Linked DNA regions of Arabidopsis thaliana. The protein of the gene in region 2 purifies or fractionates together with the protein of the main gene of each other region. This does not show direct contact. Each region holds a gene or a part of one and is shown on either strand. Other genes may lie near its edges.

Region 1 (4,074 bases), on a different chromosome or scaffold from region 2:
ATGGAGAAGAGACCAAGAAGAAGAGGAACCAGATCCAGATTGGAGAGAAGGTGGTGTGTTCGTTCACGAGGATTGTGATTGGGTTGGGTGGTAGGGGCGTGAGAATCTTCGACCAAACCAGGGGTAGTTTTGGTATTTCCAGACTTAACGTTTAAGACTAGGCAAAGTGGTCACCCACTACTTACACACACGCGCTTCCTTATTTGCGGATTGGTTGGAGCCGTGACGTCCTCACTCGGTCCCAACCACACTCGGTAACTAATAGCGTTTTCTAAACGCGGTTATTTGGTAGAGCGTTTTCATTAACGTGATTAGCTAGGACAAAACAAACAAACAAGCCAACCTAAACCGTATGTAACTAATAAGACAGTACCCAAAACCAAAATAAGCATATGTTGTGCGGTATAGAAAATTATAATTACTGTTCAAATTCAGTGATTGACATGTAATTATCACAGTTTTTCCATTAAAATAGTAAGGAGCAAAAGTGATATAATAAATTAGAAACTTTGCGAGATTTCATAATTATGATCTAAGTAAATTTTCATTATATGTGGGTAAATAACATCGATAATAGCCAGAGAGACTCACGTTTACAATCAAACACAGCCGCACGAGTAACCGATCAAGAATTAAATCACCTAAGGAACAAGAAAATGCTTATATCTGCTGCGCATGGGAATGGTGGAAAGAGACGAGAGAGAGATTAAATAGTTGTATTGAACAAAAACCTTGGATCATATGTTTCTCTAAACTCAAAACATAAACTGACCAAAACAAAAATAAACGAAAATCTCAGATTTCAGTAAACATGTCTAGTTGGAGAAACGATCTAACAGCGGACAAATAACATAAAAGGTGATTGATTATGGAGAACAAGAACCCACAAGATAAAGATTCTCTCTTCAGGATCTCACTTCTTCTTGGCATCACCAGCCTTTGTCTGCAAACATTGATCAAAACAGATTCTTAAAGCTACAGTCACAATCAAAAACAGAAGATAGCAAGAGGGAAAACCAGTATACATACCTTCTTAACACCACGGATTTTCTTCGCCCTGTTCTTCCTTTCCTTAATTTGTTTCCTTGACTTCTCAATCTTAGTGTCAAGTCCATTCTGCCAACCACATAGACAAAGCATGTTTAAGTATAAAGATGCAGAGAACACCAAGTGCAATACGATATAAAGTCCGAAACTTATCACATAGCTTATAATTTTCAGACAAACAGTAATGAGCAAGAGTAATGATTTAAGACGGGTCAATGTGAGTAGCAATATATAACAATGGAAACAAGAGTGGAAAAAGCATTTACCCTGATAAGTCTGTATTTGGGTTCAAACTTCTTAGCGCTCTCAACAGTATCATAGATCAAACCAAACCCGGATGATTTACCACCTCCAAAGTGGGTTCTGAATTTGAATACGAAGATTGCATTTGGATCCTTGACCTCGTACATCCTTGCTAGCTTCTCCTTCAGCTCAGCCTTGCAAAAATAAAACCAACTCTCCCGTTAGAACCTCTCATAGTCTATCAGAACTCGAAATAGATGAAGTAACAAAGTGAGTAAAGAACAAACCTTTGAAACATTGGCTCTTCCAGGGTGAAGAACATCAATAACCTATATTTTCAACAATCCACCATAACTTAGAATTTCATTCCAAAATCTCAAACGGAACTAAATTGCGCCAGATCAATACTATATGATCTAAACACTATCTATGCTTTAACATTAGGTCGTAAATCTGAAAGCCTGACCTAAAACATCAAACCCCAATTATAAAAATTTGACGAGACAACGAATGCATTCTCTCGAGATTGGGTTCATATCAAATTATAACTAGATTCCCATTAAAACAAAACCCAGAAGAACAAAAATGATATGCAGATAGAGAAGAGAAAAAAAATAATGGAACTCACGAACTGCTTCCTGGAGAGAAGTCTGTTGGTCATGAATTTCCTGGTTCGGATGGTGACCGCCTTTTCAGCCATTTTTGCTACTTCTCAAGGATTAAAGTGAAAGATCTCTGCAAGCTTGAGTGTTTTCGTCCGCTCAGGTGAAGGAAAGAGACGCCGAATCGAAGTCGGAGCTTTTATATAGTTACAAGTTCCTTAGGGTTTCTTTTGTGTTCTCTTTGTATGGGCCTCAACTTTTAATTTGGGCTTACTTAATCCTAGCCGTTTGGTTTTCTAGGTTTGATTAATAAACATTTACATGGGAAAATAAAACGAAGCCCACTGGGCCTAAAATATTTATAGCCTAGTGTCACAAACAATTGTCATTGGACATTGGTTAAAGTCTTTGTTTCCCCCACGCCACGAGTCAATATTTTCTGTACATAACACAAAACTGGGGTTCATTAATGCTACGAATTCAGCAATTTTGAGTTAGAATTAACCAATGTCAAACACTTAAGACTAAATGACAGTTTAATGTGTATATGTATAGTTGTGTTCAGCTGATTAGAACTAATTAACTTGTACTTTGACACTTAATATAAACTTTTGGGAAAAGAAAAACACAAACGGCTAAGAAACTTTTATTTTATTTTATTCGTTGTGCTTTGGTGTTTTACACTTACAATGTAGGGAATAATCATTTTTTGTCTTGTCAACGTGTTACTTTTACTATTTAACAAATAAGAATTGTTTGCCGGAGTTATTGCAAAGAAATATTATGAAACTTTTGGGAAAGAAGAGTAATTATTAAAGCTCAAAAGAAACTATTATAAAACAGAATATAATGTTTTGATCTTGTTAAGCCACGAGTGTGTTAAAATGAGTTGGCTTCCACCGCAAAAGATCATTTGAAGGTTGTACTGATCAGATTTCGACCATTCGCTGGAACATGTATAAATTTTAAGATCGCCAAATATATATATGAGGACAAAATTTAATAACACCATCTATTCGTTGATTATTAGTTGCTGGTAGTGATGAGACCCTCTTGCATTATATTCATAATAATGGATAGACACAAAATAATATATTTATAAAGTAACAAGGAAAATCTTGAGGGAAAGATTATAAGGACCGACAAGAAAATGAATGGAGGGAAGATATGAGAAGAATGGTTGGCACTGAACAAGTGTGTGTTGGAGTTGGGTACGAATAGAAGTACGTTGATCTGTACATTCAATACCCACATGCATGTCATCAATTAACGACCATTTTACCATTTTGCTTTCTTAGCCTATTATCTACTATTAAGATCAATTATTGTTATCTTCTTTTAATGGGTCAACCTAATTCAATTCTTCGTATGTCCCTACTGCCATTTTTCATTATCTTTTTTATTCGTTTTAGTTCCATTGAATTTTCTTGACGCGTATAACATAAATTTTCAAGTTTGAATTTGTACAGGGTATATATTATATATATTAGATATTAAAAATTTGTTTTAAAAGTATTATAGCTATTGGTTTTTAAATATACTAAATTACATATATTAGATATTAAAAATATATCATTTTACTTTATTAATTAAATAATGCTAATATATATATATAATTTACATATATATATATATATATATTTCACAAATTTCAACCATAAATATTAAATAAACTGCAAACAAAAATTGTATTTTTACTAATTTACTAGTTTACACAAAATATATAATTGAAGTGTAGTTACTAATTTTACAATATAGAAACATATCTTAAAAGTTTATCAAAAGTTAAATTGGAATACGAAAGATTAATTAAAGAAAAAAAGCAAAGTTTTACAGTTACTTAGAAAAATTAAGAAGAAAAGTAAAACAAAAAAAATGCAACTATTTAAAAGAAACAACAAAATGTAAGAAACAACTAAACAAAAAGATGTATCGGATGTAGCAACAAACAAAAAAAAAAAATTAAAGAAAAAAGCAAAACAAAAAACTACAGAAGGGAATCGATCTCAACATTTTAATATTGTATGGGGCACTAAATGAATTCTTATTACCAAATGAATTATGGTAACTAAATGTATAATGATCAATTATGTTTTTTCAAAATTTAGCATGGGGCACGTGCCCACCCTCCTCTGATAGTAGATCCGCCCCTGGACAATAACTTATAACTTGTAATATAATA
Region 2 (4,775 bases):
GAGATATAACCAAAAAAAAATAACCGTCAATTGTTTTACGAAGTTACGATAAAAAGACAAACGAAAAATAACCATCGATATTAACAGAAAGTTACGATGAGAAAACACAAATAAAAAGTAACGATAAAAAGACAATAAAGAAAAAAATAACCGTCTATATAAATAGAAAGTTATGATAAAAAGACACAAACGAAAAAAGTAGTTATCCCCACCAAAAAATAACTGTTAATATTAAAATGACTGATACAAACGAAAAGTTGCGATAAAAATGTACTAAAAAAAAAAATAACCGGCAATGTTAGCGGAAAGTTACGATGAAAAGACATGAACACATAAATAATCGTCAACATTTTTAACTAAATGTTGTGATAATAAAATACAACCGTTCAGAACAGCAAAACACAATTTTTTGGATTCATCATAAAACAAATAATTTGTGGTAAAAGACTTTACGTCATTTGTTCTCTTTTGGTTTTTTGTTCACCTGTTTGTTTGTTATAGAAGAAAGTGACTTTAATGAATTAGCGATGAAACAATTATAAATGATTCGATGACACTACAATTTCACTATTGTTGATGAGATTGAGACAATCATATAATTTTCTAACAGAAGAACAAGAAAGCTTGCACATCTTAAACGGAAAAAGTTGTACTACTGAAGACTAAACTCGTCGTTGGCATATAGAAACAGGACAAATAGTTCGAAAGGAACTCGATCAAAAACTGAACTGCCATACTCAATATGAAAAAAAAAAATGGCAATAATTCAAAACAAAAATGATTTATGGTTGAAATTTGAAGACAGTTACTCAAAAAGTGTTTGGCTCCAGGTAAACTTATGGTTTATAAGAGAAAGCATCATATCAGATTGGGCATTGATAATTAGGTGTAACACAGAAAAGTCGTCATTCCAGCTTGACACGATCCATGTCGTTGATCACACCTTCAAGCTGCGCAATGGAGGAAAAAAAAGAAGAGCCAAAGATCAAAACAAGAGTTCATGTGCACTAGTCTTAGTTTCAGTTTATACAACATACCTTGGCAATCTGCCGCAAGAAGAAATCACCATAACGTTTTGCGGGTTTTGATTCGACAACGTAGATCATGTCCTGCAGTGTCACCAGGTTTAGAGTTGTTACAAACGTTGTAAAAGCACCAGAGTATAGATATCAGAAAGACAGAGAGAGAAGAAAGAACATACGTTGTTGATGAAGAAATCAATGTCTGCATTGGAGATGATCCTACCATCGGAATCAACTGAATGGGTCTTGTGCTTGTATGTTAACAATATGGTCCTGCAAATTAAAACCCCGTACATGTCAAAGAAAAAGAGAGAAGTAGATTTGGTAATAATAGTTATAAGAATGCCCATAGTTAGTCCCTGACCTTAGAGTGGGCTCATCAACTTCCATGTAGTTTGCGAGCTTAGCAAGAGAAATGGAGGAGTAGACTTTCAGGAAAGTCCGCACTCCCGACAAGAGCTGCTGCTGCTTTACCTCGTAAAGGAACATCTTCAGCTGAAGCCTGTATGCATCCTGATTGTAATTGACAAGAGGTTCCTCGAAAGTTGGTGGTGCGGAAGGGGTGATAAACTTGGGGCATGCGTAAGAGAAGAGCTCATCATAAATACCAAAGGCCTCGTCGTCAGACCTCAGCATCCTCATCATCTTTTCACCATACTTGTCTCGCAGCTGAGAGTTGACAGACTCGTCAACGAGTTTAGTTTGAGGGCAGAGGGAGAGGGAGAGAGCAAGCAAAGCGTACATCTGCTCATTCTTCTTGAGTAATTGCTCGTACTGAGGTGACTTTTGATGGTACTGCTTAGTCTTGAAAATGTAGAGGAGAATCTTGTTGAACTCACGAACAGCATCGACATACCTCCGCAACATAAGGGTGGCAAATCCATAGTGGTAGATAGTAGCGATATGGCAACCAATGACACTGGTGTAAACACCTGGCTGAGTGATGTCAATGGGCTGCAACCATTTGAGAGCAGTGTGGTAGTCACCGAGGAGGCAGTGAACACGCAAGAGACCGACCATGCTGAAGTAACCGAGGACCTTCAAGACGTTGCTGCCACCGCTGAAATCGTAGCCATCAGTCTCAGTGAACTCAAGGCCATCCTTGTCATGCTCAAGGATCTGGATGATACAAGACTTCTCCACAAGTGCTTGCAAGAAGTTGAGCACGCCATAGACATTCCAGGCCTTATCGTGCTGTCTGAGCAATGCAATCTCCTCCTCTGTTTTGTTCTTGAGCTTTGCTCTGAATTGACAGAAACTTTGGAACTGGTAGACAAACTCATCCACCATATCCCACAACCACTGGTTCGGCAACTGCATATTCACTACGCCGTGCAACACAACCTAGAAAGAACAAACGGAAGAAGGTCTACTTACTTGTATTTATTCCCAGCCAATACATACACAAAAGAAATCAAAATCAACAACATCTCTATCTAACAAGGAAGAAGAAGTAGAAGAATTCCACAACAGACCTGAAAGAGGCTGCAATAGTTGTCATAAGAATCAATCCTCTGCTTCAACGTCGGAGACAACCTCGCATACAAATGTCGAAACCACATCTCACGGTACAGAAGACAGAACACATGGTCGTTGTCTACGTAAGGAGCAATCGCTTCCACACTTGGCCACGGCGTGTCCTTGAACAGACGCTCCGATATGCTCTGGAACGATGTCTCACACATCTGGTGGATCTCGTACACGTTCTTATCCCTTATGTGTCTGTACATGTGTGACACGAACGACTTCACCGAATCCGGCACCATATTTGGGTCGTACCCACTCTCCCTCTCCCCCGGACCTTCCTCATACTCATTGCTGCTCGCCATTCTCGCCGGATCAATTCTTAGCGGCCGCAACAATGTTAGCTCTTAACTCACTACCACCGCCTAGGGTTTCCTTATTACCACCGGTTCTATCATCCGGTTTCGTTTCCTTATTACCACCGGTTCTATCATCCGGTTATGTTTTTTTATAAAGTCATTTTAATAAAACTTTCTATGGTTCGGAAAAAAAAAACTTCACATAATCATCGCTATTCTCTCTCTCTCTCTCTCTCTCTCTCTCTCTCGCTCTCATATTTGCAGGTAAAGCTTCGTTGATTCGTCCTCTTTATGTTCAATTATAGTTTCGCATCCCTCCTATGTCTTTCTTTCTAGATCTTAAAGCAGAGTCATTGCTTAACCCTAATTATCACTGTTCTTGTATAAAACACTTTTCACCTAATCATTGAGATTGTTACGGGATCTGATAATTGCGTCTGTGAATTACAAGAAATTAGGGTTTATTTCTTCTTGATTTTAGATTGATCTTTTTGCAGTTGACAATTCGTTCTCTTTGGGAAATTAGAGATGCAGGTAAATTGCTTAATTTTTTTTTTGTTTTGTTGCAAATTCTCTGTGTATGTTTATGATTTGATTTGATTTGATTGATGTAATAGGCATCAAGAGCGCGACTGTTTAAAGAATACAAAGAGGTACAGCGAGAGAAAGTAGCAGATCCTGATATTCAATTGATCTGTGACGATACCAACATATTCAAATGGACCGCTCTTATCAAAGGACCTTCGGAGACTCCTTACGAAGGCGGTGTTTTTCAGCTTGCTTTTTCTGTTCCTGAACCTTATCCTTTGCAACCTCCTCAAGTTCGATTCTTGACCAAGATATTCCATCCTAATGTTCATTTCAAGGTTTGCATCTCTTTTTATAACAACCTTCTCCTGTGATAAAAGGAAACGCAGGTTTTTTAGTTAGTACTTGGGAATTTTGTAGACAGGAGAAATATGTCTCGACATTTTGAAGAATGCTTGGAGTCCTGCTTGGACGCTTCAGTCTGTGTGTAGAGCTATCATAGCATTGATGGCTCATCCTGAGCCGGACAGTCCTCTTAACTGCGACTCAGGTACAAAATGCTAGTTTAGTGTTTTCAAAAATGTAACCATGGGCGTTCGGGTATTCGGTTTGGTTCCCGTTCGGTTCTAGTTCGGTTCCGATTCTTTCTGTTCTCGATTTTAGGATCCATATAGGAACCGAAACAGTTTCAGTTCGGTTCAGGTTCGGGTTCGGTTCTGAAGTTTAGGATCCATTAGAATATTTTATTTCGAATATTTCAGATATTTTTTGTCTTTTTTTCCGGATATTTTGGTGTTTTTATATATTTTTCCTTATTTGGGTATTTTTGATTATTCAAACTAAAAATAACTAATATCTTTGGATATATAATCATATTTCGGATACGCAAAATATTTTGGTTCGGTTCGGGTTCAGTTCTAATTACTTTGGTTCTAGAATTTAGGATCTATTTGAGTAGTTTACCATTTCGGGTCGGATTCGGGTTGCTTCAGTTCGGATTCGGTTCTTTCAGTTTGATTATTATGCCCATGCCTAGTTTTTATAGTAAGCAACTGTTTTTTTTTTCTACTGACGCTTTTGTTGTGGTTGCTATGGAAAAAAGGGAATCTTCTAAGATCTGGTGATGTGAGAGGGTTCAATTCAATGGCACAAATGTATACACGCCTCGCCGCTATGCCTAAGAAAGGATGATGATGATGATGATCCTCTTGCTTTTTTTTTGTTTTTTTTTTTGAAATTTGTAATGATATTGATTTGCGAGAGTGAATACATTATTAACGAGAAGAAGATGATTCTTCTTTATTAGTTCACAATATTACAATCTGTCAAGTTGTCATATCTTCTTGTTTAAGGAATTTGTCAAACCAGTCTGATGATTCTTTGATCATGAAACTCGTCGCTT
Region 3 (5,171 bases), on a different chromosome or scaffold from region 2:
ATAGGATATTTTTCTGCTTTTTTTTGTTTTTAGTTGGATATTTTTCTTCACCATTACTGGAAATCATTAAATGAATCTTCTTGAAGTTTTAAAAGATTCTTATAAAAAGAATATCTTAGAGAGTAGATATTGTAACATATTTAAGAGTCTACATTACAGAGAATTATATCAATCAATTCATATGATTACTTTCTTTAATCAATCCCACTAATCTTTCTCCTAAAAGAGAATGTGGAAGAGGCTGAAGTTGTTGACACAATGTCTTCCGGAGGAAACAACACAGAGTCCGAAGAAGAAGAAGAAGCAACTCAACCACCAATTAAGAAGATTAAACAATACAGTCACTGTGTTGTTGTTGGAAATTAACTAGTAAGGAATTAGAGTTCCTTAGTTAAAAACTCATCATCATCCTCCCATGAATTCTTTATGTCATTCCCATTCACATCTTTATGTTATTAGCTAATGTAAAGTCATGATGATATTAGCGTGTTTCAAGGTTTACTACTAACATTAGCGAATTGTAACGAATCAACATTTTCTCTCTTACTCAAGAGGCAGTATTTAAAGATTGGACAACATGAAACGCACTCATGTCTATAAGAAATTCAACCCCCAAAGAGATTTAATCAGATCAATGTCAATAATAAATTTATACGGACACTTTAAGTATAGCTTTTTCAACCAACAAATAGAACCAAAAACATGACTCTAGAGAATTCCCAGACCAAACCAAAACAAAAGCTTCCCATGTTCCAACTATATATTTCCGCAACCAGAAATTTGGCTCTTCTTGCTCTATTCAAACCAAAATTAAGAAAAATGTGTTTCTTTTGAGTGATAGATAAATGATAAAATAGACGCTGGACAAATCCAATTTGCATTTGCTCAAAAAGCTCTTTTAATCTACATGAAGTCGAAGTCATCCATGGCATCATAAGGACCAGCCACTAGATCGTCATTGGCCTTATCTACAATAAGTTGTTTCTTCTTTCCACCTGATCAAGCAATGCCAATGGTCATGAAAAACGGATTCAGAATAACACATTCATAAAACTATAAACCAAAGATGAAGTGATTGTGAGTAACACATTCAGAATAATACCTTTCTTTTTTCCCGCAGCAGCTTCTTTCTCTGCCTTTAGTTTTTCATTTGCTATCGTTGTAATGGACGAAGCAACATCTTTAACATCAGCTGCTTTCATGTTGGTCAATGAAAGTCTCATGATTGTTTTGAGCAGCGCTATATAGTGATAACTTTTCTGCAACAGAAACCAAACTATATTTTCACACATCATGAGCTTCAATACTAGCCAATGAGAATAAAGGTATATAAGGCAGAATACAACATACCTCATATGGTTTAATCCTATGAGAAATCATTTCAGCATATTCCAAAAAATCGCTTTCAGACTTGGGGATAAACATATCAAGGTTTTTGTCATCATCCTTCACTCCAAAGAGCTCAGCAGTTGCCCGGTAGTCGGCTTCCTCAACAAGCCTGTGATAGAAAGAATATAACATATAAGGTCACATAGACCTTCACAGCCTTCTTCCATACACAAAGTACAAAAGATTAAAGTGAATTATTATGTGTGGGAAAGATATTATTTACAAACTGTACCTCTGCTGGCGAAGTTTCTCCGCTATAGGATCTAGAGGTTTTTCTTTTGGTGCTTCCTTTGGAACTTCGACTGCTTTACCCTTCTTTTCAACAGTTTTGGGGGCTGCTTTCTTAGGAGCCTTCTCCGGAGCAGGATTTATAACAGGCGGCTACAGAAAAACAACAAGGCAAAGCAGACAAAACATAAATATTCCCGTTGGAATCTCAAACCAAATTATACGTAGTAGCCACTAGCCAATAGGGAAAGAATTACAGAGAGTAAAAACTAAGCTATACCTGAGCAGGTTCATCATCATCATCCTCCCATGAATCCTTAATTTCATTCTCATCCACATCTTCATCATCCCAGTTACTTTTAAGCTCAACTTTTGCTGGAAGTGGTGCAATTTTCTCGTCCTCTGGAATCAGAAAATAAAAATTATAAGACTACTCACATGCTAGTGATACGATTTTGAAATATCAAATATGAAACCCATCAGATTAGCAAATAATCCAAAATTGCTTGCATATCCAATCAAATACTATAAATAAATAAGAAGACTATAATTAGATACAAATAGAGAATATAAGAGAGGACACTTAAAGCATAGTCTTACCCCAGTCATCCATATTTGCTGCAAATTATCAGGTACAGATATAAGCTTCTATCTGAGTCCAACTGGTAAACCTGCCAAACATACGCGTAAGCATCAGAAACACGCTTATTTGATCAAACTACATTACTGATCAATCATTCAATCCACATAATCAAATACACTGATCCCCATGTGTAAATATGCTTAAACTACTTGTAGTAAGCTTGCTAACTTCACATCATAGACAGAGAATACTGATACTATTACTTTACAAATCAAGGTTTCACAGCTAACAAAAACACATAGGCCTAATATTTCACACCCAGGAAAAACAGCTAAATCTAATGCTTACAAAAGACAAGATATCTTATATCAATTAAAACTATTACAGGCATGTCAGCTATCTAAACCTGAACACAAGTTCCATGAACTCTTAGAGAGATACCAAACAAAAACAGTCCCCAAAACACAAGAATCTTAAACACATAACTAATAATTTCCTTCTGATTTTGGTAATCCAATCCTATGGATTTGCAACATCGATATGAATTCCTCAATCGAAATCAATCAAAATGGTTAAAACCTTAAGAAGTCCTTGTTTCAATAAAAAAAGGATTCAACTTGAACATCATCATGCAAACAAAGAGCAGAGAAAAAGTAACGAATTGGTCATAGTAATCTACACTACACACAGAGAAGTTTTGATGATAAAGTTTGAATCATTAACCATGAATTCGAGAACCCAACATTAAGAAATCAAATCAAATCAAAATCATAATTTGGAGCAATTCTATAGAAACCCACCAGAGAATCAATCGAAAATTAAGATCTAGAAGCGAATTTAACTGAGAAAGGAAAACCCTTTGATAAGAAAACATACCGAGGAAAGTCTGAATCCAAAAGGGTTTTTCGCAGAGGAAGAGAAATCGCAAGAAAATTGAAGCGTTTTCGTTGGATTAGAAATCTCCGATGTGGTGGTTTTTGCTTCAGAGGTTAAAAAGAGATTTAGGGCTTTTGTGTGTTTCCTTTTGTTTTTCGTTAGATTTTATGCCTTTTTATAAAGCCTTTCCACCGTGGCCCCAACATGTCGAACCGATCAAAGTATAGACCAAAGTTGTTTGGTCAATTTCGGTTAGACTGATACGGTCGAACCGATCACCGTGGCCCCAACATGTAACTTTTTCCATCTTACACTCTCCATTTTTTTATTCCGTTTTTAATCATTTTTTTTTGGAGTTTTTGCACAATGATTTGAATTTGCTGACCAAGTATTAAGTACTTTTTGCAAATGAGGGTTGAAGGGTATTCTCACATGTGTGCAATCGATTGTAGAAAATACTTATGTATTCGAGATTGAAGTTTAAGTTAAAGGCTTTGATTTTGATTCATCGTATGTATCAGACAACTAGAGTTGTCCATCCAAGTCAGATTATCCCGAATATTTGTAAGCTTCTTGACTCTACAAATTGTTTAGGTCCATTGAATATTGAAGCCGTTGGTAAGCCAATCTAGAACCATATCAAACAACAACTTCAATCGATTAGATCAATGTATTAACGATCTACTGTGATATAGTGGACAAGAATCAAGATTCAAGATTCAAGATTCATTCCTCACACACAAGCTGAGTTAAATCATCACCTTTCATCCACCTCTAAGCAACAAAAATAAAGTTCATCACTTTAAATTACTTAAGAGCTACATTTGAGCTTATGACCATGACCAAATCTGAAACAGTATCCACTCAATGTATATGTGATTCATATTTTGCAACTACTCATATAGTTCTCACAAAATATTGAATTAACCGTTGAAAACAAATATAGAACATAAGATTAAATTATAATAAACTACAATCTCTTCTTCCATTTATCATATAGAACCTAAGATCAAACGGGTAAAACCACACAGTACACACTGTAAGAAACTGAAGCTTCTCAAAAACTAGGAATCAAGATTCATTCCTCAACACAAGATGGATTAAATCTTCACTTTTCATCTACCTCGATTCAACAAGATATAAAGCTCAACACTTTATATTGCTAAGATCAAAGGTTGATTGAGCCTATGAACATGACCAGAATCTGAAACAGCATCCACTTACCAAAACTATGATTTATAATGTGAGTTAGAACACTGAAACTGTTAAACTATCCTCTGACCAAATACTGAATCATATATTACTAGACCAAAAAATGTCAAACCTTCCTCTGTTGAATTGCACTAAATTAACCGAAGAAAAAAATATGAACATGGAAAGCAATTATGCATATCTCTCACATTTTCTCATTGGCAAACTAAGTAAACTAAAATGTTGTCTTAGATTCATCATAAAAACATGAACAGATTTAATCTTAACCCTTTCATCTACCTCAATCCTCAAAACAACAAGAGAAAGTTCATCACTTTAAATTTCTAACAGCAGAGTATAAACTTATGAACAATAGATACGAAACAGTATCCACCATTCCACCTACTAAAACTGTGATTCATATGTAAGCAAGAAGAACACTGAAACCAAAATATTCATAACCCTCATATTATCTCACTAGCAAACTAAGTAAAACTACAATCTCTCCTCCAATTCATCATATATAACCCAAGATCAAATGGATTCAACCACACAGTATACCAAAGTGAGCTAATCAAAAACTAAGAATCAAAATTCATTCCTCAACACAAGACAGATTAAATCTTCACCTTTTCATCTACCTCAAACCAACAAGATATAAAGTTCAACACTTTAAATTGCTTAAAAGCAGAGTATGATCAACTAGTTAATAAACATTGACAAACAAAGTAAAACTACAATCTCTTGTTCAATTCATCACATAGAACCACAAGATCAAATGTTACAAAAACGCTAACCTTACAAAGCAAAGCTTTTGAGGAAATCAGGATCACGTTTAGCTTTCTCCTGAAACTTCTTAAACCAACGATCCAAAATATCCATAGGAACAACCAATTTACTTCCA
Region 4 (3,930 bases), 1.1 Mb from region 2:
ACTTAGACCATCTCCATTGATTAGAGACTGTGAAAGTCTCTCCAAAATAATATTTTAATGTAATTTAGTTTTTGATTTAATTTTTAATTCATGAAAAAATAAACTAATTGATATATAACACATGACATAATGAACTTCTCATCGTTTTTCTCCTCTCTTATACTTTTTCTATTCTTTTAATATTATTTTGGTAGAAATATCTAATTCTTATAAAAAAGTTTATATAACTTTTCAATAAACATATTCACTATCTAGTATTTGTAAATCAATATCTAGTTCTTATAAATCAATATCTAGTATTTTACATGTTAAGTCTCCCAAATGGGTTCCTTACTTCCTTCTTGTAAAATCCCTAAATTTTTCCAATGGTTTTTCGGTTTAACATGAGACAAGGAAACATCTATTTTGCTTATTTAGATTGTTGTATCCGTCATCGATGTTGCGTTGGTGGAAAATGATAAACCTTTGAATGGTTCATTGATATACATTTGAAAATGCAGAAAGTTGAGTTCTTTAGAATATTGCAGTCAAAAATAGAATTCCCCTGTGAAACCAGAACGTAGTCTTTTTTTCTTTATTCTCATGACAACTAATGAATTTCAAGTAGAATCCAACTTTTAATCTTGTGGTATGTGGTAGCAAAAATTGAAAAGTTGAACAATAGTCTCAATCTCCGAAACGCAAGAGGATGAAGTTTAAAATCAATGTATTCAAACAAAATCTTAACCACATGTTTCTCTAAAACAAGATCCAAACCAAAATAGAGCAAGTGTGACAAAAAGAAGCACAAAATCGAGAAATAATTAGAAGATGTCTAATAGCAAACATGGCTTCAAAGAAGGAGTGATGCAGAACAAAAACCATATTGCTGCTTTTGTCCTCTTCAAACGTCTTACTTCTTCTTGGTATCACCAGCCTTGGTCTACACTCACAAAACAATGCAAATATCGTTAAGACAAAACAGGCACAAACATAACAATAGCAAATGTAGATTTCTGGTTAGTGTTGGTCTCTCTTACCTTCTTAACACCACGGATCTTCTTCGCCCTGTTCTTCCTCTCCTTGATCTGTTTCCTTGATTTCTCAATCTTGGTGTCAAGTCCATTCTGTCAATCACATCAACAATCATTTCAGTATGAGATTGCAACACCATTGTTTCATCGCAAAGCAGTGAAAATCAAAGCACCAAGAGTAAGCTAGACTAAAAACTAGAACCAAAAGTTTTACTTAACTATCAAACAAGTAAAGAGAAATTACCCTGATAAGTCTGTACTTAGGCTCAAACTTCTTAGCGTTCTCGACAGTATCATAGATCAAACCATATCCAGAAGATTTACCACCTCCAAAGTGAGTTCTGAACTTGAAACAGAAGATAGCATTTGGGTCCTTAACCTCATACATCCTCGCCAATTTCTCCTTAAGCTCAGCCTTCAAACAAGTAAAGCCCCACCCAGTACACAACATCACTAAGAAACAATACACAACTGCACAAGCTTGGATTGTAATCAACACAAGCCAATGTACGTAAAGAACATACCTTTGAAACATTGGCTCTTCCAGGATGAAGAACATCAATAACCTACATTAATTGATTCAAAATCTGATGATTAATACTCCAAATGCAACATCGAAATGAATCCAAATACTAAACATCAAACCTAAAAGTTGCAAAATTCAAAATTTCCTCTAGCAATACATCAAAATGATCAATGAATCTGTTCTTATAAGATTGTTTCTACCTAAACTATAGTTTTTATCATTCGATACAGCGAAGACGTAACACTGTGAGATTGCAAAATGGAACATAGAGATGGGAACTCACGAATTGCTTTCTGGCGAGAAGCCTGTTGGTCATGAAGTTTCTGGTCCTGATAGTGACAGCTTTTTCCGCCATGGCTGCGATTTACTTTCCGAGATCAGTCTCTGAGCTCCGGTTTTGAAAATCGACGAGTTTCGCAGCGGCTTTGGAAGGAGGAGCACACTAAACCCTAGATTATTTATATATAGCTCTCTTTCAGATTATTAGGGTTGGTTTCGTTTGATGGGCCGAATTTAATTGGGCCTTACAATATCCATGCCCAGAGAATAGATTAGTTTGTTTCGGGTTTGATATACAAAGACAAAACAATTGTCTATTTTGATCATTCATGTTATAAAAACATACTTTCATATTTTATTTGATTAACGAACGACAATATCATTGTATACTGTATAATTATTTCTAATCTTTTGTTTACTTATTTTTGATTTTTATTTTCTAGAAATTTTCTTTTAATTAATTTAATTCAAATAAACATATATATTATAAATTGATTAGCTGCAAGAAGTTTTTAAAGTTTTTCCATGTGTTTATGTCAATTAAATGAAAAATATTTAAGAGGAAGCTACATGGCATAAGACAAATTGCAATCACATCTTCTCTCGATTCTTTTCATTTCAACCAAAACAATCATATGTCATCCTTCAATCCTAGCATATATTACCACGTCATAACGATTCTACACAAATTGTCATGTTAGAGCAGGTCCATTGGGGATTGAAAATTTCTTATCAAGAATCCTTAGCAAAATAAGACAAAATTTAAATGAAACATGTGATATAAACTTACGAACGACCTAAGCTTAGAGTTTTTTTTGGTGTTAAGGTTCGATGACGTGTCCATTTCTCATTGGACGCGTGTTTTGACAAAACAATATTTTTTTTTCAGTTGCCTGTGGTTTTTCTCATTTCTGGATATCTCTATTCTCTTCTTTGGTGCGATGGCGATTGAACGGTCTCTGATGATCATCAGCCTCACGCGTTCATGTTCATCAAATCGGAAGAGAATATCAACGAAATTCGTCTCTTATCCACTGTCCTCATCATCTCAACCGACGGTGGTCAACATGGACGAGTTTGGTGAACCAAATCGGAGAGAAAACGTGCATAAATTGGAGATTTGTGTCAAGCCATGGTCCAATCAAATTCTGAATATATAGATCTAACAATTTAATTGTGTATATCGGGATTAATTAGGGTTATTGTTAGATTTTATCAAAATTAGGGTTTCCTGAATAGGGAATTTTAGAAGATAAATTAGGGTTAATTGATGGTAATTGTTGACATTTCTAAGACAAGAATAGATTGATACTCATTGAGCTTATTAGAAGAGAAATTGAATAGCTCATGAAAAGCTTTATTGTGCAAAGAATCTAAAGAGAGAGAGAGAAGCTTTAAGATTGTCTAGAAGAACAAAAATGATTTTGATTGTGATTCATATAAATGTTTGAGGGTGACTGCTCAGAGAGGCAGCCTTGGTTACATGACAACATCATAGATATATATATATATATATATATATCTTATTATATAAAGTACGGAGTTACTAACTCACGAGATCATGACACGTGTCAGGTCTATCATTGAGATGTTGACATATGTTAAAAAAAAGTTTCTTTAAAAAAAAAAAAACATATTTACATATACTAATTTATAGTTCTATATCTAAAAAATTTAACTTATAATTTTTTTAATTAAAAAGGAAAACTAACAATAAGATGAAGTGTATAGAATTAAATTTTATTTGTATTGAAAAATTGGATTGTATTTGAATTGTATACAATCGAACTAAATTGTATTGTATTATGATAAAAAAGATATTTAAATTGTATTGTAAAATCGAATTTGTAAGATTGAAATTTAGTTTAAGGAAATACTAAATTAAATACTGAAAAATATGAGTTACAATTTAAAATTCAAATATCATCAATAAGTTGGAGTGTATAAAATTAAAAAGCAGTTTATTATGATGAAAGAGATAGTTAAAATGTATAGTAAAATTGAATGTGTATGATTGAAATTTTATTTAATTCAAAAATTACTAAATTAAATATTAGAAAAAGTGTGTGGATCACTATTTACTATTCAAATTTTAAATATTATCGATAAATA

What was found.
Region 1: the proteins of AT5G25757 (region 2) and AT3G04920 fractionate together in Arabidopsis thaliana (co-fractionation; one large-scale study listed by BioGRID). This does not show direct contact.
Region 3: the proteins of AT5G25757 (region 2) and AT1G66070 fractionate together in Arabidopsis thaliana (co-fractionation; one large-scale study listed by BioGRID). This does not show direct contact.
Region 4: the proteins of AT5G25757 (region 2) and AT5G28060 fractionate together in Arabidopsis thaliana (co-fractionation; one large-scale study listed by BioGRID). This does not show direct contact.

Annotation. Positions count from the first base shown.
Region 1 is NC_003074.8:1,358,905-1,362,978, reverse strand, and holds AT3G04920 (Ribosomal protein S24e family protein), read right to left. Parts: upstream 2,143-4,074; 5' UTR 1,991-2,142; coding exon 1,919-1,990; intron 1,620-1,918; coding exon 1,578-1,619; intron 1,485-1,577; coding exon 1,314-1,484; coding exon of another isoform or gene 1,260-1,313; exon of another isoform or gene 1,117-1,259; coding exon 1,030-1,116; intron 944-1,029; coding exon 914-943; 3' UTR 530-913; downstream 1-529.
Region 2 is NC_003076.8:8,964,610-8,969,384, forward strand, and holds AT5G25757 (RNA polymerase I-associated factor PAF67), read right to left. Parts: upstream 3,032-4,775; 5' UTR 2,852-3,031; coding exon 2,498-2,851; intron 2,367-2,497; coding exon 1,387-2,366; intron 1,296-1,386; coding exon 1,202-1,295; intron 1,110-1,201; coding exon 1,038-1,109; intron 951-1,037; coding exon 906-950; 3' UTR 536-905; downstream 1-535. Other genes in the region: PEX4 (peroxin4), read left to right, coding at 3,374-3,379, 3,463-3,711, 3,794-3,923, 4,476-4,564; AT5G25770 (alpha/beta-Hydrolases superfamily protein), read right to left, coding at 4,699-4,775.
Region 3 is NC_003070.9:24,595,291-24,600,461, forward strand, and holds AT1G66070 (Translation initiation factor eIF3 subunit), read right to left. Parts: upstream 3,342-5,171; 5' UTR 3,077-3,341; intron 2,289-3,076; 5' UTR 2,231-2,288; coding exon 2,218-2,230; intron 2,020-2,217; coding exon 1,898-2,019; intron 1,771-1,897; coding exon 1,622-1,770; intron 1,499-1,621; coding exon 1,351-1,498; intron 1,260-1,350; coding exon 1,103-1,259; intron 996-1,102; coding exon 904-995; 3' UTR 519-903; downstream 1-518. Other genes in the region: AT1G66080 (hikeshi-like protein), read right to left, coding at 5,066-5,171.
Region 4 is NC_003076.8:10,068,899-10,072,828, forward strand, and holds AT5G28060 (Ribosomal protein S24e family protein), read right to left. Parts: upstream 2,002-3,930; 5' UTR 1,895-2,001; coding exon 1,823-1,894; intron 1,580-1,822; coding exon 1,538-1,579; intron 1,429-1,537; coding exon 1,258-1,428; intron 1,107-1,257; coding exon 1,020-1,106; intron 923-1,019; coding exon 893-922; 3' UTR 542-892; downstream 1-541.